7 linked regions of the Xenopus tropicalis genome follow. The protein of the gene in region 4 interacts with the protein of the main gene of each other region in a pairwise test. Links are inferred from orthologs where the notes say so. Each region holds a gene or a part of one and is shown on either strand. Other genes may lie near its edges.

The links.
Region 1: the proteins of egfr (region 4) and ikbkg interact in a protein complementation assay, tested with the Homo sapiens proteins (3 studies listed by BioGRID and IntAct, with this or other methods). The link is inferred for Xenopus tropicalis from reciprocal best matches to the Homo sapiens genes EGFR and IKBKG.
Region 2: the proteins of egfr (region 4) and lrp1 interact in a protein complementation assay, tested with the Homo sapiens proteins (3 studies listed by BioGRID and IntAct, with this or other methods). The link is inferred for Xenopus tropicalis from reciprocal best matches to the Homo sapiens genes EGFR and LRP1.
Region 3: the proteins of egfr (region 4) and psma7 interact in a protein complementation assay, tested with the Homo sapiens proteins (2 studies listed by BioGRID and IntAct). The link is inferred for Xenopus tropicalis from reciprocal best matches to the Homo sapiens genes EGFR and PSMA7.
Region 5: the proteins of egfr (region 4) and dctn2 interact in a protein complementation assay, tested with the Homo sapiens proteins (2 studies listed by BioGRID and IntAct). The link is inferred for Xenopus tropicalis from reciprocal best matches to the Homo sapiens genes EGFR and DCTN2.
Region 6: the proteins of egfr (region 4) and map3k3 interact in a protein complementation assay, tested with the Homo sapiens proteins (3 studies listed by BioGRID and IntAct, with this or other methods). The link is inferred for Xenopus tropicalis from reciprocal best matches to the Homo sapiens genes EGFR and MAP3K3.
Region 7: the proteins of egfr (region 4) and grb10 interact in binary tests that used the Homo sapiens proteins (3 or more experiments, as listed by UniProt). The link is inferred for Xenopus tropicalis from reciprocal best matches to the Homo sapiens genes EGFR and GRB10.

What each region holds. Positions count from the first base shown.
Region 1 is NC_030684.2:25,684,685-25,688,939, reverse strand, and holds the start of ikbkg (NF-kappa-B essential modulator), read right to left. Parts: upstream 2,801-4,255; 5' UTR 2,602-2,800; exon of another isoform or gene 2,492-2,601; intron 1-2,491. Other genes in the region: g6pd (glucose-6-phosphate 1-dehydrogenase), read left to right, coding at 2,983-3,004. UniProt on the Homo sapiens protein: Regulatory subunit of the IKK core complex which phosphorylates inhibitors of NF-kappa-B thus leading to the dissociation of the inhibitor/NF-kappa-B complex and ultimately the degradation of the inhibitor.
Region 2 is NC_030678.2:139,526,887-139,530,386, reverse strand, and holds part of lrp1 (prolow-density lipoprotein receptor-related protein 1), read right to left. Parts: intron 3,106-3,500; coding exon 2,976-3,105; intron 2,834-2,975; coding exon 2,707-2,833; intron 2,163-2,706; coding exon 2,011-2,162; intron 1,686-2,010; coding exon 1,561-1,685; intron 258-1,560; coding exon 1-257. UniProt on the Homo sapiens protein: Endocytic receptor involved in endocytosis and in phagocytosis of apoptotic cells. Required for early embryonic development. Involved in cellular lipid homeostasis.
Region 3 is NC_030686.2:4,411,868-4,415,889, reverse strand, and holds the start of psma7 (proteasome subunit alpha type-7), read left to right. Parts: upstream 1-1,222; 5' UTR 1,223-1,281; coding exon 1,282-1,377; intron 1,378-3,589; coding exon 3,590-3,716; intron 3,717-4,010; coding exon 4,011-4,022. Other genes in the region: ss18l1 (calcium-responsive transactivator), read right to left, coding at 713-781.
Region 4 is NC_030682.2:56,743,853-56,747,975, reverse strand, and holds the start of egfr (epidermal growth factor receptor), read right to left. Parts: upstream 2,801-4,123; 5' UTR 2,780-2,800; coding exon 2,695-2,779; intron 1-2,694. UniProt on the Homo sapiens protein: Receptor tyrosine kinase binding ligands of the EGF family and activating several signaling cascades to convert extracellular cues into appropriate cellular responses.
Region 5 is NC_030678.2:140,646,394-140,649,670, forward strand, and holds the end of dctn2 (dynactin subunit 2), read right to left. Parts: intron 2,568-3,277; coding exon 2,496-2,567; intron 2,022-2,495; coding exon 1,919-2,021; intron 1,735-1,918; coding exon 1,643-1,734; intron 1,185-1,642; coding exon 1,098-1,184; 3' UTR 501-1,097; downstream 1-500. UniProt on the Homo sapiens protein: Part of the dynactin complex that activates the molecular motor dynein for ultra-processive transport along microtubules. In the dynactin soulder domain, binds the ACTR1A filament and acts as a molecular ruler to determine the length.
Region 6 is NC_030686.2:17,076,905-17,080,404, forward strand, and holds part of map3k3 (mitogen-activated protein kinase kinase kinase 3), read right to left. Parts: intron 1,807-3,500; coding exon 1,685-1,806; intron 1,272-1,684; coding exon 1,231-1,271; intron 1-1,230. UniProt on the Homo sapiens protein: Component of a protein kinase signal transduction cascade. Mediates activation of the NF-kappa-B, AP1 and DDIT3 transcriptional regulators.
Region 7 is NC_030682.2:60,192,994-60,197,208, forward strand, and holds the start of grb10 (growth factor receptor-bound protein 10), read right to left. Parts: upstream 2,801-4,215; 5' UTR 2,762-2,800; intron 2,268-2,761; exon of another isoform or gene 2,238-2,267; intron 1-2,237.

The sequences.
Region 1 (4,255 bases), on a different chromosome or scaffold from region 4:
TACCCTAGAAACCTGGCAGTGGTTTGAATAAAAGACTGGAATAAGAGGAGTCTGAGTAGAAAGATAAGGAATAAAAAGTAAAAAAATAACAATAAAATTGTAGCCTCACAGAGCAATTGTTTTTGGCTGCCACAGTCAGTGACCCCCATTTAAAAGCTGTAAAGAGGCAGAAGGAGGGCAAATAATTCAAACATTAAGAGAAATAAATAATGGAGACCAACTGCAAAGTTGCTAGGAATGGGACATTCTATAACATACTAAAAATCCACATAAAGGTGAACAACCTCTTTAAAAGTAGCTTTTCATTTATAGCCTACAAAGGCATTTAGGGAACCTGAGTTTCAGAGACTACACTGAATATACAGGGGTGGAAATTCCCCATGACACATGGGAAAATCCATAGGGCCAGTAAAAATGTTTACCCCACCCCAAAGGCTAGTTATTTGGTAAAACCAGACTGTAAACCATAGTTACCTCTACTAATAGAAAAAAAGAACATAAAAACATAAAACATTATAAACAGATATAGACATCCAACCATAAAGCAAAAGTAAATAGGAAACGGTTTAATAGAAACCAATGACCAGTTCTGAATACCAGAGAAAAAGGGAAAGTCCTGATGACATCACATAGTATATTGGCCAATTATATCTCTCCCATGTTATCAGAAGGAATAAGGAAGTAGTTGTGAATGTTATTGGAGAGACAGCGATAAGAAGGAAGCAAAGAGGAATGCAGCCCAGGTGATCAGTGTCTGCTGTTTGGGATCAGAGCAAAATTACATAATTACAATATGGGATTAAAGGACAATTAACACCAACATTTAATTATTACCTTTCTTACTTTTTATAGTGTCTGCATATTCTGGAGCACTTAAAGAGATTATACATCATTTCCATTAGTTCCTGCCCCAGTGGAGTTTACAATCTAAGGTCCATTTCATATTCCAATCAGCCCCTGCCCAGTGAGCTTGCAATCTAAGGTCCCTATCACATTCTCATCAGTCCCTGCACAGTGAGTTTACAATCTAATGTCCCTATCATATTCCCATCAGTCCCTGCCCCAATAAGCTTACAATCTCAAGTTCCCATCAGTCATTGCCCAGTGAGCTTACAATCTCAAGTTCCCATCAGTCATTGCCCAGTGAGCTTGCAATCTAAGGTCCCTATCACATTCCCATCAGTCCCTGCCCCAGTGAGCTTACAATCTAAGGTCCCTATCTTATTCACACACATTAGAGTCAATTCTATCAGAAGCCAATAAACCTGCCTGTATGTTTTTGAATGAGGGAGGAAAGCAGTGCAGAAAACAGAGAAACTCCTTGCCGACAGTGCCACCTGCACCCTAGGGCACAGCACTGCCCATAATTCCCTTGTTGCTGTGTGCATGTATATATGCCCCTTTATATAGTTTACCATAAAATTATTTGGACTGCTTTGTATTGCAATTGCAGTCTGCCAGACTATCCTCTGACCCCAATATAATGCAGCTGGTATCTCCATTGCCAATGTGCAAGTGGGCAAAAGGGGCAGATGTTGCACCCCTGTAAATCCAGCCATTCACAACACTGCCTATGCAAGCCGACTAACATAACCTGACCACCAGTGTCCACATGACAGGCAGGCTTAAGGTGGCCGATTGTAGCTGCCGATATCGGTCCCTTAGACTGATTCGGCAGCTTATCGGCCCAAGTAGGGGCACAAACGACAGGCCTGCCCGACCGACATCTGGCCTGAAATCGGTAGATATCAATCAGGCAGGTTAAAAATTTTAGTCAGATCGGGGACCGCATCGGCTTGTTGATGCGGTCCCCGACTGAATTAGCCTGAATTCACCCGATATTGCCCACCCGTAGGTGGGGGATATCGGGAGAAGATCCGCTCACTTGGCGATCTCGCCAGGCACTTTTAGAAAATATGCACTGCATCTGCGCCACACACACGCAGTTGGGTCTATTTTTGGCAAACCTAACGCAACTGTAGTAGATGAGTTGCAATTGTGTCAAGAGAATCATCAATTTGTGATTGCAATGACCCCGTAATTCTGGAAAAAAACAGTGCACTGTGGGTAAATTCCACTTTATGCCCTGCGTTTAGGTAAGTGAATGTGACCTATGGTGTATACAAATGCTGCTACTGACAGCTTGCTGTCTAAGCTCTCCTCCATTCCAAATCTCCCTGATTCCCCCTACACTTCACATCATCAGGTACAATTGGTTTTTTAGAGGTCTTTTCATTAAAATAGAGCACAATCAGCTGACTGTCCGACATACCCTATTGCTATTCTCTACACTGCTGGTTCTGACAACTGAAACCTGCATGAGCAATGACTATACACAGGAAGGGATACATACAGCTACCGAGTGCATTTACAAATAGCTGTAAAATCAGTGAAAACGTTGAATGCATGTATGGGTTAGCTGCTTGTGATGTTCTGCTATGGGTGCTGGATCCGACACCCATTCTATTAGTATAAAACCACTTTTAATTACCTACTGTGCAGTAACGCTTAGAGTCTCCACTCACTGTCTCAGGGTCGGCTTCCTCCACCCATTCCTTGAACAAAATGAAACTGAAGTCCAGGTTCTGTCAAGACACTTACCAAAGTGTTTTTGTATCGCTTCCGGGTTCGCTTTCCGTAGATGGTCCAACCCCAGGAAATGAGGCTCACGCTGTTTGACAGTATTGTCGGAAGTGGGGCAGGAGTCCTAAACCGGAAATGAAGCATGGCATGACTGCATTGGATTAGAAAAAAATGTAAGCGGTAAAATGTGCCAATACTCTCCTGATGGCGACCTTCGGCAACATCCCCTCCTTTGATTGGCTGTTTGCCGCTTTTCTCTGTTTTCATTGGGGAACCGTGCTCATGCGGCGCACCTCATGGCGGTGAATGACGCAAGCCACGCCCATGTGGTGGCTAAACCATTCTCTGATTGGTGGAGCGGCGCCGGGGCTGGGTGTAACGCTACAGAAGTAGGCAGAGATGGGGAGCAGTCCCAGTGTGGGTGAGTGAGGGGGTGGATCTCTCACCTGGTGTCAGTGTTCCAGCACTAGAAAAATGTGTGGAAACCTGTTCTCTGTGTGTGTGTTAGTTATAGCGTGTGGGGGGTAGCGGCTACACGAGTAGCACACAGCCTGCTTACACGCTCCGCAGCATGCTTCTTTCAATGGAGAAATTACTGCCATAGAACTGCCACACGCGTCTCAATTAGAAAACCAAATCTGTTAGTGTTCTAGAGCGATGAATCCAGCTGCTAAAGCATTAGGTTTCATATACACCTGTATATATGCATGTCAGGAACCCTGAGCTATATTCTACTATAATGGGATTTTACCAGGGGCCACATTATTCTATATAAGTATCAGTGGGTGGTGCTGTGAATGACATCACTAAGTGCTGATTATAAACAATGACATCACTAGGTGCCATATCTGTATATGAATATTTTTACAGGTTAATCATTGCTCTTGTATGTGTTTAATGTGTGCGCACGTAACTCTGAAATTCATATTGGATCTATGTATATTATATGTATGTATAAGTGATCCATAGTTGGGAACTGTTCCTAATGACCAGGCACTGTGCCAGTTGCTGACCAATTGCAGCATTTTGTTATTCCAGTGATAATAAAGCAATTTTTATGGTTTTCTCTTTCATTTCCCTGCAGAGTCCTCCCTCCTGACCCAAAAACACCTATGTACCCCAATAGGCAGAGGAAGTCATATATATGGCAGCTGCCAACCCTGCTGCTCTACTCTGCCTTAAATCCTGATGTACGAGGAAGCATAAGGCTGGAACTAGGGCTAGGCAGCAGGGGCATGTGACTCAATCACAGTTGGGGGGCACAGGCTGGACTGGCATTCAGGGCCAGAACTAGGGGTAGGCAGAAGAGGCAGCTGCCTAGGGGGCAACGATTGAAGGGCGCCAGGCAGGAGCCTCTCTTGCCTACCCCTAGTTAGTGCTCCATTTTCATTACCCCTGCCGCGGTGGGGGCAATGAACTTTCACATCGCACCCCCCCGCCAAAACACACGGGGGGTGCAATGCAATAGTGCAGGGACTAGGTGGCCACCCGGGTTGCCTTGGGTGGCCGGTTGGCTCAGTCCACCCCTGCTGGCATTCCAAGTACACAGAGGCCCAAACAGCCCCCACCAGCCCAATAAATAGTGACTGGAAGAGCGGGAGCAAGCAGTGGGTGGCTGACCTGTAAATTGAACTGAAGTGGGGGATTGGTCCAGTTAGACAAGGGGGCACAT
Region 2 (3,500 bases), on a different chromosome or scaffold from region 4:
TGCTAGCGCAATGACATTCTTCATGTGCTCATGGTCCTCAAAAGGTTTCACAGGCGCATTGAGACTACTCTCATCAGAGAGATGGATACTTTTTAAGATGGTTCGCTCAGAGTATAATAGGTAGCCATCATAGTTCCGGCAGTTTAATCCATTTTCAGCAAGCATCCCATGAGCACAGGCACAAGTACGATTGTTATTGCCCCGGTATAAGCATAACTGTTGGCAGCCACCATTGTTCACAGCACAGATATTGGTTCCTGTTAAATAGAAAAGCAAACTGAGCAACACAAACATGTGTTCCCTGTAAGGCCTTTGGCAGAGTGCAGAACAACAACCACAATCACCCCATGCTGTCTCACATAGAGAATCATCAGAAAGTACCAGCACTAGCTGATGCAGCCTGAAAATGCTCACCTGAAAAACCTGCATCTTGAATCGGAGCCATGCGCTACTGGTCTAAAGCTACAGTGCTTATAATCATCTGTTAGCTTGACTGATTTTACGAATGTCACTATAATTCACTAAGGATCAAGTTTCCAAAGTGATCAGGCAAGCAAGAAGATTCAGCAGTGGAGATCCCACAAGCAATAAAATGGGAACAATTATTACAGGAAAGAGGTTAAAATATAATTACAGTTGGTGGGGTTAATCTTAGTCTTCTATATATAAATATGTACTAGGCAAATGCTAGTAAAAATAGGATAAGGTATTTATGTAAGCGAAGGAGGGTGGCTTAATAAATGACCCTCTTTAAAATAATAAACTCAGAAACTGTTCTGCAAGAGAGGCCCTGTAAGGTCTAAATGCTTCAGTTTGTAGATCTATGAAGGTTATATAGTACAAGGGATACATTCTGGGCTTCTACACCAAACTTTTTACTTGAGTGGTCAAGTAAAAACCAAATAGTGAATAGCTGCTATAAATAATATTGAACTGATGCAAAAACTAAGTTGTCATATATCATATGGGGTTATTTACCATGCATGTTTATAATTAAAACACATCATGGAAGAAGACCCAGGGCCAATAGTGCATTGGTGCTTGCCCACAACTACATTCCACACAGAATGGTCCAGAAAGGATTTTTTACTGTGAGAGCTGTGAAGTTGTGGAATTCCCTCCCTGAATCAGGTGTACTAGCTGATACATTAGATAAGGTCGAACTTGATAGACCAGTGTCTTTTTTTAACCTAACTTACTATGTTACTATGTTAATACAGCTCTATGCATTTCTTTGGGCAATTCAAGTTTTCCAAATATATACTGTATAAGCTCATAAGGACTAGTCTGATATAATCTGGTATGGTATGGCTTGTGGCCAAAATAATCATGTTAAAATGCTCTCAAGAGCAGAAGAAATGAGCTGTGCGTAATGGAATGCATTCAGGATAAAGTATATACTGCTGCACATTTGTATTCCCCATTTCTCCTGTTACCTATTTAAACCAGTGAATATGCACATGTTCATCTAATACACATTGCTCTTTGCAATCAATTATTCATTAAAGGGGAACAAATATGTACATTACATATATTACACATTATATATATTCTACATACCCTTCTGGCGGTCTTTGTTGAACACCTTGATGTCTTTCAGTTGGACCCCAATACCAGTTCTTAGAGACACAGAGTCTGTAGCATTGTCCTTGTTCCCTCGTTTAATGGATCCATTGGCATGTGTTCTGTAAGCGAGACACACACAAGGAATGCAATAAGTGAAATAACGAGTATTTTGCCTAGGATTTGCTATGTAAAGAATGATAAAAATAAAAAACATCGTATCACCATATTTTAAGTCTACTAAAAATAATTTAAATATAACAAATTTCATAACTGCAGTTAAATTTGTAAATAGAAAATTTACAAATTGTTCCATTGCAACAGAGTATATTAGAAACAAGAGCGCCTTGGGATGTTGCAGAGAGTGGGTAAATTAAAGAGTTGTGAATGGCATATGTTCAGGAGATGCATTTGAAATCCCTTGAAGCAAGAGATGTGCAGTCTCACCTGTCACTCCAGTAAATGTAATCTTCAAAGACAGACACTGAGAACATATCCATGTTGTTGCTGGACAGCACCACCTCTCTGTTCTTTCCAGTCTCCAAGTCAATCCTCTCAATTTTATCAGTGCGAGCATCACACCAGTACAGCTTGCCTTCCTGTACAGAGAGCAACGGATACTGAATACTTCTCATACAATTATTTAATACTACTGTACAGAGATTAGCTCTTTGTTAATGAGCTTTTATGATTCTATCATTCTATATTTCACTAAAACAACTCATCAAAATAGGATATTGTGAATAAGGAAAGAGATCTACTGGTTTGCAGAAAAGCATAATACAAGGCTAACTAAACTGGATCATATTTGCCTGTGTCTTTACCACAAAACAAGTTGCTTTATGATCAGAAACTAATATAAATGAAGACTCCAGTGGCAGAGGCATGTGTAAATGATTATTAAAAGAACAGACTTCTTGGTTTCCAAGACTGCTATAAGGTCAGACTAACCAGCCATGAAGCCAAATAGCATGATCTCTACCTTGCTCTTTCGGTTTGGGAAACAAACCTATGATAAATCATCATATTACATTACCATTACAGTGTCAAAGATAGATTGTAAGGAGTTATATATGGACAAAAACAATTTGGGGCTGATTGGGGTAAGACCCGTACTGTTATATATAATGAGTGTTTTCATACCTCATAATCTATGGAGACTCCATTGGGCCAACTGATGCTAGTTTGCACAAGGATAGACCTTTCACTACCATCCAAGCGAGATCTTTCAATGCGAGGGTGCTGACCCCATTCTGTCCAAAACAGGTATCTTTAAAAAAAAAAAACAAAGCAAAAAAAAAAAACATATCTATTACAATATAATAAAAAACAACAGATATTTTAATTATTGCTAGAATATAACACAGAGCCTAAGACACAAGGGACAGCAGGTATTTCTGTATAACTCTTACCCTTTCTCTGGATGGACCGTTATGGCACGTGGCTTGTCTAACCCTTGTGAGATCACCACGTAACGGAAAGAGCCATTCAGACGAGCCACCTCAATGACATCAAATCCCTGATCTGTCCAGTAGATGTTACCTGTAAAAGAAGGGGCATCCAAAATCATAACCATGGAATTCAAGTATCTCTGATAAACCTCAGTCACACTTTATTGCTGCGCTGCAAGTTGGAGTGATATCGCCCCCCTCCCAGCAGCCGAACACCAGAACAATGGGAAGGGAGCAAGATAGCAGCTCCCAGTAGGTATCAGAATAGCACTCAATAGTAAGAAATCCAAGTCCAGCTTGGGACTCAATAGGAAACAATAGGTTACCTGAAAGCAGTTCTAAGTTCTTTTGAAAGCTCAGACTCAGGCACAATGCGCTGAGATGGCCCCTACACACCAATATTACAACTAAAAATACATCTGCTGGTTCAAGAATAACATTTTAAATGATAGAGTGAATTATTAGATAGTGACCCAGAAAAAAAAC
Region 3 (4,022 bases), on a different chromosome or scaffold from region 4:
ATAGCAGTTGTACCGGCGGATACATTGTATAACTTCACAGAAAGTCAGAGCCCACCCAGCAGCTACAGACTCCCCTGTTACACCCCTGTGAATACCCCTCTATTCAGGGGCAAGGAGGCGACAGATTGCCCTTTCTCTGCATCGCCTGCCAGCTAGGGAGCTTTAGCTGAATGGATGCAGGTCTTTCTTCAGCCTCAGCTACTACATAACTGTCCTGGCCGTCACTGCATTAATCCCTCTCTAAGGATTGTGCTTAGTGACTCTCAGCATCAGTGGAGATCAGAGCGGAACTGGGGGGGGGGGAGGAAGATTTAGGTGGGTAAAAGACAATACTATGTATATATATATATATTTATATGATACACAGTGTGTGCCAGTTGCTACTACTTCTCCCTATGGGGGTAATGATGGAGGGACCCCCCCAGGATGCATCTGCCCTTGTTATCATTCTAAGAAATGGCATCTCTAAGGACATTTACATTCCAAGCATGGTGCTGCCATGGAGACTAAATATTCTGATATATATATATAGAGATGAATGAGGTGCATATTTGCTCAGACTGTAAATTCTCTTGCCCCTCCCACAGGGGATCCTTGTTGCCCATTTTCTGCCCTCTGCATTATGTATGACACATGGGCTATATTTAATTCCCACCTCCCCTTATAATAAACCCAGGTGCCCCCAGCCCCCCTTCCCCATGCAGATCAGTACCTTCTGAATAGTTTGCTGGGTGATCTCTCCCTTGCCTCTGGGTCTGGCTGATGCAAAGGCCACAGACATGATGGCCCCTGTGCTCCTCAGTGGATAAATTATTACAGAATATTCTTATTATCAGCTGCCTATTACTAGGCAAAGGTTTGTCATTCTCTGCAGCAGACTGGGGGGGGAGTGCTTGTCAATGGAATAACCCATTTACACATCGTTTGCTTGTCACTTTAAAGAATACGTTTATTGCTACACAGCTACATCTATCATGTTTCATAAAATCGATTCGATGATGGAACAGTTTGACACAATTGAGAAATGAGCGCTTTGATGAGGTTCCCACCCCCCCACTAGAATGGTTGGATCCACTAGCCGGGTTTCCTGTCTCATGAGCCGGGTAAGGCAGAATCCCGGGGGAGGAGTTAAGCTTACGCAGTTTGCGTAGCGTAGACAGTGTGGTTAGCAGGGGAGGCGGCTCCTGCGCAGAACGGAAGTGAGGTTAGTGAATAGGAGAGGGATGAGTGCGCTGTTTTGAGCAGGTTTCGGTTTGTGAGCGGATTGTCCTCGGAGCCAACATGAGTTACGATCGGGCGATCACTGTCTTCTCCCCGGATGGGCACCTCTTCCAGGTGGAATATGCGCAGGAGGCCGTCAAGAAAGGATCCACAGCCGTGAGTACTGAGGGAGGTGGCCCCATGGCCGGACAGGGAGAGGGAATGGAGGAGGCCATTCAGGGGCCATTCAGGGGCCCAGTGCGATGGAAGCAAGTAGCCCCCCCCCCCAGGCAGGGGGAGACAGGGAAAGAGTGGGACCCCCCCCCCCGGGTTACATGGAATAGTAGCAAACCCACTGGGGAGAGGGAACGGGAGAGACCAGGCAGGCAGGGGGGGTACCAGTGTGTGGAAGGCCCCCATAGATAGGGGGAGAGATGATAGAATGGAAGGCCCCCATAGATAGGGGGAGAGATGATAGAATGGAAGGCCCCCATACATAGGGGGAGAGATGATAGAATGGAAGGCCCCCATACATAGGGGGAGAGATGATAGAATGGAAGGCCCCCATACATAGGGGGAGAGATGATAGAATGGAAGGCCCCCATAGATAGGGGGAGAGATGATAGAATGGAAGGCCCCCATAGATAGGGGGAGATCTGATAGAATGGAAGGCCCCCATAGATAGGGGGAGAGATGATAGAATGGAAGGCCCCCATACATAGGGGGAGAGATGATAGAATGGAAGGCCCCCATACATAGGGGGAGAGATGATAGAATGGAAGGCCCCCATAGATAGGGGGAGAGATGATAGAATGGAAGGCCCCCATACATAGGGGGAGAGATGATAGAATGGAAGGCCCCCATACATAGGGGGAGAGATGATAGAATGGAAGGCCCCCATAGATAGGGGGAGAGATGATAGAATGGAAGGCCCCCATAGATAGGGGGAGATCTGATAGAATGGAAGGCCCCCATAGATAGGGGGAGAGATGATAGAATGGAAGGCCCCCATACATAGGGGGAGAGATGATAGAATGGAAGGCCCCCATAGATAGGGGGAGAGATGATAGAATGGAAGGCCCCCATAGATAGGGGGAGATCTGATAGAATGGAAGGCCCCCATAGATAGGGGGAGAGATGATAGAATGGAAGGCCCCCATACATAGGGGGAGAGATGATAGAATGGAAGGCCCCCATACATAGGGGGAGAGATGATAGAATGGAAGGCCCCCATACATAGGGGGAGAGATGATAGAATGGAAGGCCCCCATACATAGGGGGAGAGATGATAGAATGGAAGGCCCCCATACATAGGGGGAGATCTGATAGAATGGAAGGCCCCCATACATAGGGGGAGAGATGATAGAATGGAAGGCCCCCATACATAGGGGGAGAGATGATAGAATGGAAGGCCCCCATACATAGGGGGAGAGATGATAGAATGGAAGGCCCCCATAGATAGGGGGAGAGATGATAGAATGGAAGGCCCCCATAGATAGGGGGAGATCTGATAGAATGGAAGGCCCCCATAGATAGGGGGAGATCTGATAGAATGGAAGGCCCCCATAGATAGGGGGAGATCTGATAGAATGGAAGGCCCCCATAGATAGGGGGAGATCTGATAGAATGGAAGGCCCCCATACATAGGGGGAGAGATGATAGAATGGAAGGCCCCCATACATAGGGGGAGAGATGATAGAATGGAAGGCCCCCATAGATAGGGGGAGAGCTGATAGAATGGAAGGCCCCCATAGATAGGGGGAGAGATGATAGAATGGAAGGCCCCCATAGATAGGGGGAGAGCTGATAGAATGGAAGGCCCCCATAGATAGGGGGAGAGATGATAGAATGGAAGGCCCCCATAGATAGGGGGAGAGCTTCCACATAGGGAAGGGGGGAGATATCATAGAGTAGAAGAGACCCCCCCCCCCCCTCAGATAAGGGGGGGAGATGTCATAGTGTGGAAGATCACTTTTACATAGGGGGAGAGATGATAGAATGAAAGAGACCCCCCAGATATGGAGGGGGGGAGATGATTGAGTGGAAGAGACCCCTCATATAGGTGGGGAGATATGATAGAAGAGGCCCCTCTATACTTCCTACTGCTCCAGTGGGAGAGACCCCTACCTGAGTTTGAGAGGAGAAATGGAGAGTGCAATTGGGATTCCTCCCCCAGACTCAAGGTTGGAACCTGAAAAAAGGGACCCTAGGGGGAAGGTTTGAAACTAGGACCCAGTGGGAACAAAAATTGAAGGAGACCCCCCCCCCCCCCCATAATGGGGAGAATAGGGAAGCAATTCCCAGAGGGAGGGATGGAGAAGGGGGGCCCCTTGGGGGGTGGGAGCATATACATAATGATGGCTCAGTTGCCCCTTTCTGTCCCCGTCAGGTTGGCGTTCGTGGCAAGGAGATTGTGGTTCTGGGAGTGGAAAAGAAATCGGTAGCGAAGCTCCAGGATGAGAGGACGGTGCGCAAAATCTGCGCCTTGGATGAAAACGTCTTTATGGCCTTTGCTGGTACTGAAAGCATCTGGGCAACCGCTTGTTTTATAGGAAGTTGCTTAAAGGACAAGTAAAGCCAAAGTGTTAATAGTCATTATTTATCCCGAGCAGCCCCCCCCTCTCTCGCTTGGCTGCTACTGGGTCGTGCCGCCATCTTGGCTGCCATGTACTGCCGGCTGTCCCGAACTGCTCCCATAGGCATTAGGGGCTTCTAATTGTCATTGGGGCCCCCTAATGCATAAATGCCCCCATAGATAAGGTGATTGTCTTTGATTCTTGTAATAGGAATAAAGTTATTTTGATTTGTAGGTCTCACAGCTG
Region 4 (4,123 bases):
CAGCAACTTGATTCAAACATGGAAACTGAACTCCAGCCTTGTACATTTACTATGGTTTCAGTAAAGAGGTCAGCTTGCTTGATGACTGTTGCCTTCCCCTGCTAGACAAGGTAGGTTTTCAGATTAGACAGAATTCCATAGAGATCAGGAAGTGTTGGTCCAATTGTTTTTCCCTGCTGTAAAACTCGTAAGTGATATTACACAATCAAAAGTTTAATTACATTAGAACCATTAGAAGAAATGAACAACCATGATACTAAATCATCACCTATGCTCTGTCCAGGCATGAAGATTTAAAAGTGTATGATCAAGTTATTGCAGGGAGCTTGGTTTTAGTTTTATCTTATAAAATGATTAAATGTGGCACAGTTCTTCGGGCTCACAAATACCCACAGTCATACAGTGTTCAAAGGCATAGCAATTCTTCCATGAAGTTCTGAAAGTTCTACCCAACTCTCTATGCGTAGTAGAGAACTCTCCTATTGTGCCAGCCAGCACTTCTGTATATCAGCCATCCTGATGTTATCTAACATATGAAGATTGATATGCAGTTTTGGGCTGCCAATATTGCACTGTAATTAAACAGATGGACTGACGTAATGTTTTTTTTTGTTAGGCAGTAGAAGGAAGCTGTTTAATCCATCTTTGGCCAAACACATAAAGCAAAAACAGGGAGTCAGGTGCACAGATACCAGGCAGAGGTCTTACTGAAGGAATGTCATAAATATATCATACACACAAGTACAAAAAATCCTTTGGCTCCAGGTAAATATCAGTGTGATATCAGCAGCAATGACATTTGTACCAATTTATATAAGACAAAATATTATGTAAAGCGGCTGAAATAAGTATAAAATATGCAAAACACAAACATTAAATAAAGGTTTCATTGAGATTTGACATGTATTTATTTATTTATACATTCCATAGTGGAATGTTTGTGGCACCAACAGAATTTGCAACCACTGTGGCAGAAGGAAATAAAAATTATGGTGGGGGGACAAGTTTAGTCTAAAGCTGGCCATACACTCACTGATAATATCGTACGAAACCCCGTTTACATTGTCACATTTATTCAGTCGAACTGCACACCTGGAACAGACTGAATTCTATTGCCCCAAGTCAAGACTTCAGCATGCCCACATGACAGAACTGTTAAAGTATTGTTATTTTTACAGTACAAAGTGCAATGTACTAGAACAAATACAAATCTGTGCTTGTATAGCAAGCTCCTGATAAATTCTTTTCTAAAAAGGGTGGGGAGCCAGCATCTTAGCCTTAGTAGTTATTTAGCGGATCCTATTAACTACACACATGACAGTATATGTTAACCATCTGTGGTCTGAAAGAGCGTGGTAAAACAAATTGCTCAGAAGTCAGAGAAGAATTTCACCCACCTACTTATTTATAAAAAAAAAATGGGTTTTGTTCTTAATGTTATATAAGCTACAACACATAACTGAAAACAGAGGCAAGATCAATTTCATTAAAAAAAACAAAAAAAAAATCATTGTTGGACAGTAGCATAGGCTCCCATGAAATGTCACAGATATTTTATATTAAGTCCAGATGCTGGCGTTTTATAACTATACATACATTCACTCACCAGTAAGCCTGCCTCTCTATATATACTGTAGATATATACATATTTAAACACTTGTTTATCTGCTGCATCAATCAATCCATCAAATGCAAATAAAACTGTTGTAAGTTATGTAAATAACTGTTTGTAGTTTTTTTAAGTTCCTTGCTCTTGCCTTATGCCCTGTGTGTGGGTTTTGAAGCTGAAGATGAGTTCCAATGAGGGCAAAGTAACTTAAGTCAGAAAAATTATTCACTATGCAAGCTTTTTATCCTTTGAACATATTTAATATAGGGTTTGCAAACCAGCTAAACTATTTAGCAACCCATATAACAGTACAAAAATACTGTGCAGTTTATTGTTTGCATTAGTGCACAGTATAGGTTATAAAGCTTCTTAATTAAACAAAAAAAAATTTGCACAAAAAATATGCCACCTTGCAGCAGGTCTTACAAATGTGTTATGTGTAATTAAAAGTCACAATGCAATATTTGTCTAATGCATAATATTGCAATAATAGTCAAATAATGCATTGCTGAGCACACATTTTTGTTCTTATTTATGCAATTATACCATAGGATGATTTTTATTACATCCACCCACTAAGTATCTCTTTTATAGAGGTGTTTCTGTAACCATTCTACAAGGACATAGTCACAAGTTTATACACAGGGTGACTACAAATGTACACAGCTCACACTCCAGGACAGTCTCTGCCATCACAAAAGCATGTCTTTTCAAAACACAAGACCAATTTCTCAGGATAATTTTGTAATATTGCTGTCACAGCCCACTGAAGGAAAGGGATTTACTTTCTTGTGTATTTCCTGTATCCTTATAGTTCCCATAGGAGGCACAGGGAGTCCCCTTGTCCCATATTCAGACCAGAGGAGGATTACCTGTATCCAGCCAGGTAGGCTCACCCTATACTCCTGGCTACACTCTGTAGGTCACAGGAAATCAATAAGTGGATGTAGAGAGAGGCAATTCACTAGCCAAACCAACACTGCCACTATCAGAAACGCAGAAAGTCTGATAACCCTTTGTGTGCCAGGGCTGGCTTCCCTACAGGCACAGAAGCAATGAAGTGGCAAGTGAATTTCTTTCCTTACCTTTCTTTTCTTCCAGAGAAAAGCAGGACTGACTGACGAAGAAGACGCAGATATATAATCCCACACTCCGGCTAAAAGACCCCATCCCGAGTCTTCAGCTACCCCCAAGAACAGAAATGAGGATGGATCCTTCCTGCAGTCCTGTGCTTTATCTGCTGCCTCTGACACCGGTCTTGTTTCAGTGACCCAAATCCACAGAACGCCTCACATCCATTGTGAACACGATATATACCCACGGGGGAGCGGAGGGAATAGAAGGAAGCTGAGAGCGTTGGACTCCGAGCTTATTGTGGGGCTCTCTCACATGAGACAGTCCAGTGTCTTCTCTTATCTGGTGTATGGAGAAACAGCAGGGAGTAAACGAAGTGCCAGTGACAGGAACTGCTTATCCCTATTTCCACACTCACTTCCCAGGAGTTGCAAAACTTTTGACAGAACGAGCCGGTCTGTGTGAGTCCCTCACGAAAAGAATCTGGCATGTTTGGCTGCTGTGACATCACGGAGAGGTGTGCCTCATTCCACTCCCCCTCCCACAGCCTTCCTCACACTCCAGGACGAGCCGAGCTACGGGCATTATTATCGCTCACTCCTGGCAGAGCTTCATAGGAGCAAGGGAAGCAGCGCCACCTATTGGTCACAACAAACACAATAGGAGACAATTCGCGCAATAATGCAGTTCACTAGCAAATCAGCAGAATCGTTTATATTTATGAGCAAAATATAATTTTGTAAATGCTGGAGTGCTTCAAAAAGTAAAATGGAAGCTGAAAACTACTGCTTGACAAATACATTTTGTCAACAAATACGTTTTAACAAAGCTAAAGTTTGTCTTTCTGCGATGGGCTGTAAAGCACCACGTCTTCCGCTGTCACATGAAACGCCAGATTAGAGTGTTCCAGGGAATCAAAAATGACACCTGTGACTGTTTGGATCAATGCGGTGCATATTAGGTGTCTAGATAAGAAGTTACCATTTAACTTCAAAATTATGGAACGTGTCAATAAAATCCAGGGCTGCAGTGATTGCAATTAAATGTAACATGTATAGGTGTCCCTGAAATTTCATGTGATCTGGTAACCCTGTGTTAAACAACTGAGCCCCCAGCCCTCCTCCAGCCACCCAGTAAAAGCTGGTAAGAGGCAGATGCCTTTTATGAAGGGCATAGAAAAAATCAAAGGGTCCTTCACTGAGCAGCCAGGATGGACCAAGGGATAATGTGGAGTTGAACCTCAGCTGACAGAAGGGCTGCTGTGAGATGCTATAGAGCAGGGATCCCCCGACCTTTTTAAAAAAGTGTTGGGGAGCAACACAAGCATGAAAAATATTCCTGGGGCTGCCAAATAAGAGCTACTTAAAGGAGAAGGAAAGGTTAAGTCACTTGGGGGTGCCAAAATGTTAGGCACCCCCAAGTGACTTAAATTGCATACTT
Region 5 (3,277 bases), on a different chromosome or scaffold from region 4:
CTTTTCATTTTTTGGTGTTACTGTCCCTTTAAGATCAGAAGGTATATATACTTAACAGCCCGAAAACCCAAAAACATGCCTCGGCACCTTTCTCCGGCTTCGTTACTGAGTGCAACTATAGAGAAGTGCAAGGGGCCCATTTTGATATCTTTAATGATCGAGGTTCTACGCACAACTGACTGGTAAAGTGTAGGCATCACAACTGCACTTGTGGATGTACATGAACCCTAGATTTTTTTTTTTTTAAATAGGAATTTCTCCCCAAGTAAATAAATACAACCAATGTATAGGGTACCTAAAGTTTGTGGCTTCTAGAGACTCTGGAATAGACACTGTATAAGCACACGGTCATTGCTGGCATTTCTGCCCCCGCAGTTAATCTCAATTGTAACCCCACAGTGTAATATATTTGGAAAACTAAAAAGAAATACAAAATAGGTGAATATGTCTTTGTAACCAAGACCCAGTAAGACAAAAAAAACCAGAAGAGCACATTCATATTTTTGAAAGATAAGTTTTATATAAGAAGCAGTAAGAGGCTATAAAGTCTAGGGAGGTTAAGAAGTAACTAACAGAATTTACTAACAGTAATGATCAGGTGGCAGTTAGAGTAAGGCATTGTCTCATGACATCAATGCTGTTAAGGTGGCATTTAGCCTCTTTTTTTTGCTGGACGTTGCAGTATATGTAATGCATTGATGGTGGCTGTGTAACAATAGAAAGAGGACAAGAACGATATACATACATAAATAAAAGGTCTATGGATGTTCTCCTCAGACACTGCAGGTGGCGCACCGCATGTACCGGGCATGCAAACATGGTAGCTTGAAAGATACACCATATTCCCTAAGAGATCAGATCTGACACAGCACCTGATATTAAGGGTGGAGTGAGTGTCCGTGCATGGGCAGGTACAGGAGAAGCCTCTAAGCATTCTCAGGAGAAACGGGGGAGGAGAGAGAGTAACAAGACATAATATGTACAATGGTAAAACCTCTCTTGGTTGGGGAGGGAGTTGATTTCTTAGTGCAGAGTCTGCAGAAACTCTTGTTTCCTTGGTATTATAGGGAATGAGGTTTGTGGTGAAGAAGTGCAACTCATTTACTTAGTTTCTTTATTCTCGCATCAATACTGGTAAAATTGTCTTCCACTGTGGCCAGGTTCTCCTTCATGGCCTTCTGGACCTACAAAAGAGCAATATCCATATTAAGTGTGCATGTAATTTGCTTTTGGATCAGGCCCAACACAGCACACTAATGCAGCCTCCATAGCACAGACCTGAAATTTGCCCACAGAACTGTACTACAGACACAGTTGCAGACTTGTGCAGCTATATTCATTAAAGCTAAGAAACTCTTACAAATGGAACAGACTGGTCTGTCAACTGCTCCCCGCCGACTGGAAAGGGAACTGCATAGAACCATGGGTGTTTCTACAATTCCCGTTCAAATCAATGGAGAGCGGTTTCCCAGATTTCTGTCAGCTATGGTGCCTGGCTAACAAAACACCTGCCATTGCTACCTGGGCCACTCTGATTACAGTTAATAACCTACAAGGTCAGAGAAATAGTGCTGCTTAGAAAAAAAGAAAAAAAAAAAAAAACACATTTTGGGGGGAGAGGATGATAAAAGCAATAACATACCATAGCTAATGCATTGGTATTGTCCTTCAAAGAGTTTGATATCATCTGCTGTGTAGTGTCCAAGTGGGCGAGAAGCTGTCCGAACTGCATGGCTGAAATAAAAAAGTTCGGGGGGGTTACATAAAGCAGACGCCATACATGAATGATCAATAGAGCAGTCGCACAATTTAGTTTGTTATATATGATACACAGTCCATTAAGTTGTTCTTTGCACATATGGACTAAACTCCTGTAACAGAATACACACACAAAGGAGACAGTTTCCCCTTGCAGTACCTTGCTCGTGCAGCTGCTTTAACATGAGCAGCCTCTGGACAACCTGCGGCAAGGTGCTAGACATGGAATCCCACTTCTGCACGGTCTCATAGAGCTGGTGCACCTGGGGCAGAGAACAGAAGCTGCATGTTACAAGAGGTATACGGAATGACTGCCTTGGATTTGGAGTGGTCGAGAAGCTGAATACAACAGGGGGAAAACACAAATGAACCTTCTTTACAGGAATACCATGCCTTCACATTTCCCCCCCTTTTTTATTTTTTTACATTTTTTCCCATTAAAAAGGTTTTTCTCAACTTGAAAAAAATAAGACTAAATGCAAATTGTTTTAAAATATGGCTGTCGACATAAAACTAATGGGCATCACGTTGGTGCGCTCTCCAGCTAATCGGTTCAGTGGCTGAACAGCCACTGAAGAATCACTTCCAGGCAACCAGAGACATCATCCAATACATTTGAATGTATTATTCTGTATTTACAAGCAGAGAATTGCAACAGAATAGTTTTCAGTGATACAGCCAAAAGTATAAACTAGTTACCTGCGGAGAAGTTGGAATTCCAATACAAATCCTTTTACCTTGCTTTCAGTGTCTGCATCCTCAATGGCCGCTTTGTGCTTAGCGATTTCATTCATTTTCCCTAAGACACTCTGAAAGAATAACATGGGAGTGAATATGAGTTCAACAAGCATCGGTATTAAAACATTTCAAGTTTCAAATAGAGAACAGTGGCTTGGCACAGATCTGTCTGCTACTGGGTTTGTAACGTGAGCACAAACCATGAGTTTGGTCAGAAAGGTATTTTAACTTTTTTACATTTTATGGAAACATTTTCATTTGTAATTCTTAGAGCAATAAGTATGGCACAGGTTAGGATGAGCAACAACTGGATAGCACTGGATGCGCCCTGCTCATGATGGGACCAGCAAAGCAAATCTAGACCGTATCCTACTTTATATAAAGAGCTCAAAGCACTTTAACAGTACAAAAGCCATTAGATTTTGGATATCACTGCCAACAGGTTCAGCAAGCTACTTATAAATATAAATATATGTAAGAGAAACAATCTTATCTACTAGGCAGAAAAGGTAGCCTCCACCTTATAGACTGGGCATCCCACAGCCACATGTACAGCTATAGTGATGATCCAATGGGAGGAATGACTGGGTATATTAAAAAGAGAGTACTGCAAGGAGGCTGCTATGGCCCCAGGTTAGGGTTTTGGCAAATTCTGATTCCAATTTTCCCAGGCTTATGTAATCCAATAGGTTAAGTAGTACCCACTGACCCATATGTAAAACTCAATGGATATTATAAACCGTATATGGAATTGCCATCTCTTGGCGCAATCACTACTGGA
Region 6 (3,500 bases), on a different chromosome or scaffold from region 4:
TATGTTATTTTTAAGGTTCCACATACCCTAACAATTTGATGAACAGACTGAACACAATTATTATTAATAATAAATGCTTTCCCATTTTAATAATGGAATAGGAGGCAAAACTCAAATAGTTATAACTATTAAATACATTTTACTGTAATACAAGGCTAACATTATTTAACATCAAAACAAAAAAAAAAATAGAGCAAAATAACAGAATTCAACTAATTTTGGAATAGCATGTAACACTCCTCTTAATCCAACACACAAATTTATAAAAGGGGCAATCACCCAGTCGTTTTCCCAATGTTCAGTAAGAAGCAACATATAGGAACTTTTATTATTAGTAACCAAGAAACCATATACCAGGACAGAAAACAGATGCCCAGTTTAACTATTCAAACCACTACACATCCAAGTGATGTTAAAAGCAACTGTGATTGCAAAGATGACTGCCATTACCCTGTTAGACATCCAAAGCATAGCTAGCATTTCTTCTGAAAGGAGAACTCAACCCTTCTTTATAGCTTGGTACCTCCAGAGCCCTCCCCCACATGGTGTACTTTGTATTTCTTAATTACACTGTTTATAATGTACTCTACCATTTACATTTTATTCTTGAACCAACAAATTTTCAAGATGCAATATTGGTGTGTAGCCAGTTCTACACATTAGAACTGTTTCTGCTACTCCTATGTAACTGGAGGAGTCCCAAGCTGGTCTAATATTATTTACTGCTGAGTGCTATTCTGATATCTACCCCTTTTTAGCAATACAGGTGTCAGGTAGCTGCTATCTTGCTCCCTTCCCATTGTTCTGCTGACCGGCTGCTGGGGAAGAAAGGGAGGGGGGTGATATCACTCCAACTTGCAGCACAGCGGTAAAGTGTGACTGAAGTTTATAAGTGTACAAGTCATATGGCTAAGGGGACATGGGAAAGTAAGGGAGTGGCTAGCCCCATGTGAAATTTCAAAATTAAATATAAAAAAATCTGTTTGCGCTTTTTAAAAAACAGATTTCAATGCAGGATTCTGCTGGAGAAGCTCTATTAACTGATGTTTGTTCATGACAATATTACTTTAACGTTTTAGAACCAGCTACAGAAAACAGGCTGTTTAATGGGTAACCAGTAGTGCAGTTCAGAAGAACTCTGGGGGGTTTTGTTCTCCTTCAAATCTGCTGGGACTGAAACACTTCAAATATTTGCATAAGTGCACATGAATAAAACAGATTTTGGCTTACCTTCTCTCCCCACTGTGCTCAAACTTTATTCTGACATCCGTCTGTAATATTTAAAACAACAATAAATATTAACAAGGCTGGAAGGGGCAACACTGACACAAGCAATGTTGTGTTGTTGTATGAAAACTACTGTCTTACATTCTGCAGCTTTTAGGCCTGCAAATTAACTTGCTATGGTAATTCAGCCCTAGCAACCAGACAGCAATTTATATGCCCCAGCAACTAGACAATAGTTTGTAAGTGAGAATAAAAGAATACCGCCTGAAAAGAAAGATAATCAATAAAAAATTAAGAATCATACAATAAAGCTTAACTCTCACGTTCAATACAATTATTGTAGCTGGGGGCAGTAAGCCCAACAACCAGAATAATTAGCTTATTTTAGCCTGCAGGCTAAAGGTTTCTAGTGCAAGTATGAAGACCTCATGCTGTAGACTACCATAATGGTACCCACCTGTTTATTGGGCTGTATGCTGCACTTTGTCTTTACTGCCTCAATTCCTGGTATTCTGTGCCTTCTACCCATCTGGAGGGCAACAAGGTCCTTCATAATGGACTTCAGAGCTTCCTGTTCGTCTACATTGAAGGGAGAAAAATTAGATTATTCTCTGCCTATGGGTTGGTATCCTACATACCACTTCAAACATGCTTCAAACATACTTCATGAGAGCACATAAACATATTGGCCAACAGTGTAGCATAACAGATATATTATAGGACACAAGACAATAGTACTCAAATCTTTGGGGATGGTCCCTTGGTTGTGAATAGTAGTGGGGGGGGGGGCAAAGATTTGTCAGTGTGAGAACTGGGGAATATTGCTAGATACCTAGATACTCTTGGATGTCAGGGTGCCTGGTAATGCTTTTCCTATACCTGTACAGTCTATCTATAGTGGGCTATCTAGTGTGTGCTGGGCCCCGTACATAACAATTGTCGGAGGGGCCCGGTGCACCGCGAACTCTACCCAGTCTCTTGATTGCCCACTTGTCGGTGCCTCCTGCGCCCCCCTCCCTGACTGCAGGTAGGAGAGCAGCTGGGGAGGGGGATTTCTTTACTTCTATAGAGGAAGCAGACCCCACAGTCCAGGCCCTGCCCGGTGCCTGCTTCCTCTATAGTTACAGCGATGTCTGTACTATTTCATTAGCCACGGTAAGCCTCTGAGCATAGGGGAATCACTTCACTCCAAACATACAGTGGGCTCTGTAGGAGCCACACAGCCAGTGAGCCTGGAGGGAAAGTAGTACTTGGCTTGGTATGTATATGTGTAGCATACAGAATTTGCACCTCTAAAAATAATTAAGCCCATCCCAAGAATCAGTACTCAGCATCTGATTATAACAGTCTGTTATGGAAATGTGAAGCATTAACATACAGCTCTGAAAATTTAAATTGCCAGTTTACCTTTAAGTTAAATTTTAATTTGTTATAGAATATCTCCTCCTGGCATTGCTCAGTTGGTCTTAGTTTTTTATGATTTTAATTATTTTAAACATAAAGCTAAATAATAAAAAAAAAAAAAAATACCACATCTAATTAATCCTTATTGGAGGCAAAATAATTATCAGGTTTAATTAACATTTAAATTATTTTTTAGCAGACTTAAGGTATGGTGATCCAAATTATGTAAAGACTGCTTATTCAAAAAACCAAAGGTCCCGAGCATTCTGGATAATAGGTCCCATACCTGTATATATAAAGTTCTGCATCAGTGTTTTGTGTGTGTGCGCGCACACTGGGGTTTTTTTGGAAGGGATGATTTTGATGGACCTTTGTGTTTTTTCAACCAACATGAATTATGTAACTATCACATAATTTAACTGCAATATAGCAGAGGCCAGCTGCTACCAGAATGAGGAGAGGACTGCTGTATTGTTTTAATGGAGAAGGAAACTCTCAAAGAATATTTGAAAAAAAGTTCAATCGCAACAGATAAAGTAGAATAACATTTGAATGTCACCATTAAAACACAAGCAAAGGCCACATGACAATGACGGCATCACGCAGGCTGGGTTTATCCTAGACTTTATGTACAAAATTAATACTGGCCTGGCTGTGAAGTATAAAGGTGGCCATACACTGTACGATTAGCCCACCTGGTGTGGGTGATATTGTGCTAATACGATCACTTAGTCCAAAGGGATATAAAATACCGAAGTGAGGAGGGCATCAATAAGCCAATGGGGCCTTAATCCAACAGAGAAATAAAGCCTGCCTGATCGACATCTGGCTGATCTTTGGTCGCCAGGGAGGCCTGTCAGAGGTCCCCG
Region 7 (4,215 bases), about 3.4 Mb from region 4:
ATCCTAACAGGAGCACCAGCCTGGGGTAAAAGGTAACCAATTAAAGTCACTGGGGGGGTGTTTAACATATTCCGCAGCGCTCTACAATAAGTATTTGCTTCTCCTTTAAATAAAAAAAAAAAAATGAATAAAAGACACTTCTTCGGACAGATGATAGTTATATAGTTTGTAAAAGAAAAACTTATTGTACAGCGCTGCGGAATATGTTGGCGCTTTATAAATAAATGTTAATAATAATAATATAATAATAATAAAAACACATCTGCTGTTATACATGATCCTAACATAATTTGTGATTAATTTGTTTAAAATGACACTAAGAACCTGCAAAACACTAAGAACCTGCAAAACACAATGCCCTAGGCCTCAGTTTGCGAAAAAATAATGTGGCACTTTATATGGCACTTATATAGTCAAAATGCAATTAAACTTCTGGCACAGAGTCCTGTACTTCAGACCCACCTTGTGCAGGCAAAATTCAGAGACCCACCTCCCCATGCATGACAAACACGGTGCTACTCAGTAATGACACAGATGTGGACACCCAACACAACTATTATGCCTATACACCATTCATACTTGGGCATTATACAGAGATGCAAAACAATCCAAAAAAAAAAATTATATATATATATATATATATATATATATATATATATATATATATATATATATATATATATATATATTATATATATATATATATATATATATATATAGGACATTTGCACTTTGTACCTAGCTAACTTTCCTAAATGAGCCCTTGTTTCCTCTGTAACAGAGCTTGCAAATGTCAACTTTTGGGATATATGTACAGGTATAGGATCCATTATCCAGAATGCATGGGACCTGGGGTTTTCTAGATATGGGGTCTCTCTGTAATTTGAATCACCCTACGTTTAACCATTAAATAAACCCAATAGGACTGTTTTGCACCGGTATGGATTTATACAGCTTAGATGGAATCAAGTACATGGTACTGTTTTATTACAAACAGAGGAAAAGGAAAGGCTAAATCACTGGGGGGTGCCAAATGTTAGGCACTCCCCAGTGATTGTAATCTCTTACCTGAAACCCCTGGCGGGTGCTCCTTTTAAGAGAAAACTGCATCAGCTCATTGTATATGCGAGTGAGCGTTCCTCTTCCTTCTAGCTTCAGAATCCCGGGGCCGACGCATGCGCAGTTAAGTGAAAAAGCTGGCTTTTTTGTTAAAGTCAGTTTTTCACTCTACTGCACATGCGTGAAGATTGAAAGAACGCTTGCATGCATACACCCTAGCCGGTGCAGTTTTCTCCTAACAGGAGCACTGGCTGGGTGTTTCAGGTAAGCGATTCAAGTCACTGGGGGGTGTCTAACATTTTGGAACCTCCCAGTGATGTAGCCTTTCCTACTCCTTTAATATTTATAATTATTTGCTTAAAATGGAGTCTATAGAATATGGCATTCCTGTAATCTGAACATTCTAGATAATGGGTTTCCAGACAATTCAAGTTACCAAGCATTCTGGATAACAGGTCCCATTCCTGTATGGGACTGTGCAATTTAAAGTTTATCATTTGTACTGTAAGAATCAGTAACCCCAGGCAGGGAATGTTAGTCTGATTATTGAAAAGCTGTCGGAAAAGCTATTAACATATAAAAATGTTTCAGGGATGCACTGCCAGTGGCCTCACGACACAAAAACTGGCAAAAGTAGCCTAATGTGCAAAATCAACTCCATACTGCTGTCCAACTTTTGTTTTCATGCCCTAGGGCAGTAATCAAGAAAACCATGTATGTATTCCCAGGACTGTTAAAAAAAATCCAAGGAACCTTTGTGCATGCCAAAGGCCATTAAAAAAAAAATCCCTGAGGGCCCCATCCCACCAACGGGCCCCCAGTTGTAACAATAAAATTGCGTCTTCACAAACAACAAGCTACTGAGGGAGAGCAGCGCCGAGAACTGGCTTCAGCTACTAAGATTATTCAAATTCTTTTCTTGCAGCTGACCGGTTTGAAACGCCAGGAACATTTCCAGGGGACTGTTCCTGGAAATCACAGACAGTTGGCACCTTCAGTCGAGTGCTGGACTTTAGCTACAGAGAAATGTTTTGAAGCCCCTGTGCTACTTTTACTAAGCAAAGCGTGTGGCGCACATTTGTATATAGAGGAAGGAAAGGAGCCTTCCCTGTCAAATCCCTGTGCTTGGCCCTCACTGAGTGTCTGAAAGCTTTCGCGTAACATTAAGTTCAACTTACGGTGTCCCAGCTACTCGCAGCAGCAAAGCCACGTTTGTTTTGAGCCTCGCCTTACGCGTGTTCCTTCTATTTATTATCGTATCAGCTCCCTGCCGCCAGCGCCCTGCCTACTTTTCGTCCTCCCTACCCCCTTACTCAGGAGGAGGAGAGGAGAGGGGGGGGGCGCTGCTGGAAAATACTTGGCAGTCGGGACAATCATTGAAAATGACTAAAATAAACCTCTCAGATGTGGGTGACTCCCACTCAGCCTTCCCCACCTCTTTACAGAAAAAAAAGTCTTTCACTCCCTTCCTGAAATAAAGAGGTGGGTCGTATTTATTGTGAAGGAGGAGGATTTAATAACTATTAAAAAACGAGAGAGAGAGGGGGGCTGTGGGTGGGAGTGCAAACAAGGGTAGTATAAACAAGTGCGCTTCATTTCTACAGGCTACCGACACAGGCAAAAGGGAGTCCCCCTCCTTCCTAGCCAAGTGTCATATTGCATGGGCTTTTATAAAGAGGCCGAGTGTGCAGCAGACAGTTACCTGGTGCCTGACTGGGCAAGCAGCGGCACATGTTGCTCCCATCGCGGCACACACAACTACAAGCACGTACACATCGCATTAAGCTGAGCAAGAGCTCACGCCAGATAGACAAGAGTCCAGGGCACCGGAGTGAGAACGTGGCTAGCAGCTGTGGGAAGAGCCATTTAGGGAGTATGACTTGGCAGATAAACTTCTGCACTGACACAGCATGTGCTCGTAACACTGTCACTGGCAGCGGTAGGGCAGCGCTCATACGCACAGCAATGCGCTGTAGGCCCCTTGGGCACCAGGAGAGGGAAGGGCATCGCTCTAATCCCAGTTACACTCAATTAGTTAACAGAAATCCCATTTCAATCAAGCTGCCCGGGGTGTTAGAGTGAAATAAAACATTCCTCCCGCATCCCCACCAAACAGTCCCGTCAATTCAACAAGCGGTTTGTTCACCTCAGCTGCAGCGCTTTCTGCGCCAACTCCCACACTCCACTCAAAGCAAGGAGCACAACTATGAGAGGAGGGGTGGGGGGAGTGTACTCGCAGCGATAGTGCGAGGGGAGAACGTCCTATTAGTTTGCAAGTCTGCACTGTGCACGCACACACACAGGGAACCCCTTCCCAGCGCCAAAGGACAGGGTTGGATTTGGGAAAGTCTTCTCTCCACCCCTTTATCCCCCTGCAGCGCACTTCCTCGCTGCCCCCCAAGTGGAAGCATGTCTGACTCAGCTGAAAAACTAAAGGGGATCATGACTAAAACAAACAATCCCACAGGCAGTTGCACACAGACACATGCATACACACAGTTCCAAGTGAGTATTACCTGCTTGATGTCCTGAGTGCAATGGGCCTTGGTTACAAAGAGACCCTTTGTAGCAAATGATGGGCTGCTGATACTCAATGGGCCACTCTTTCTGCCTTCTCTACTTCCACGGAGTTTTCTTTATGTGCCCAACTTCACTATGCGGATCTAAACACCATGCTCCTTCCAACAATCCTTGGCTTGCCCATAAAGAAACTCCAATGAGAAAAAACGCATAATATGGGAAAAATAAACTTGATGGTGGATGCGTAAAAAAGCCTGGCTCGGAAAAATTGCACCCAGATTTGTATCCTCTGTGTTCAAAAGATCTTCCTATTCTCCACGGATTCCTATAGGTCTCTCCTGCGGGCTTTCTCTCCTCTTGCGCTCATGCACTGCCTATACACTCAGCTGACTTTTCTGCTCAGGATGCAATAGCACCACCTCCCCCTGCTCCCAACCCCAGGGCCTTTAAACCCTCCCTCTCAGCCCTGCTACTAAATCGGGAGCGAGCAAGTAGGAGGGAACTTTGAGTGCACAAGACTCCGGGCAAGAAGAGAGAGAGGGAATTGAGAGAAGCCAAGAAAGAGAGCGAGAGGGAAAGCAACATACATACAGGAGAGCACACAAGTGCTGTAGGGAAAACAAAATTACAAAATAC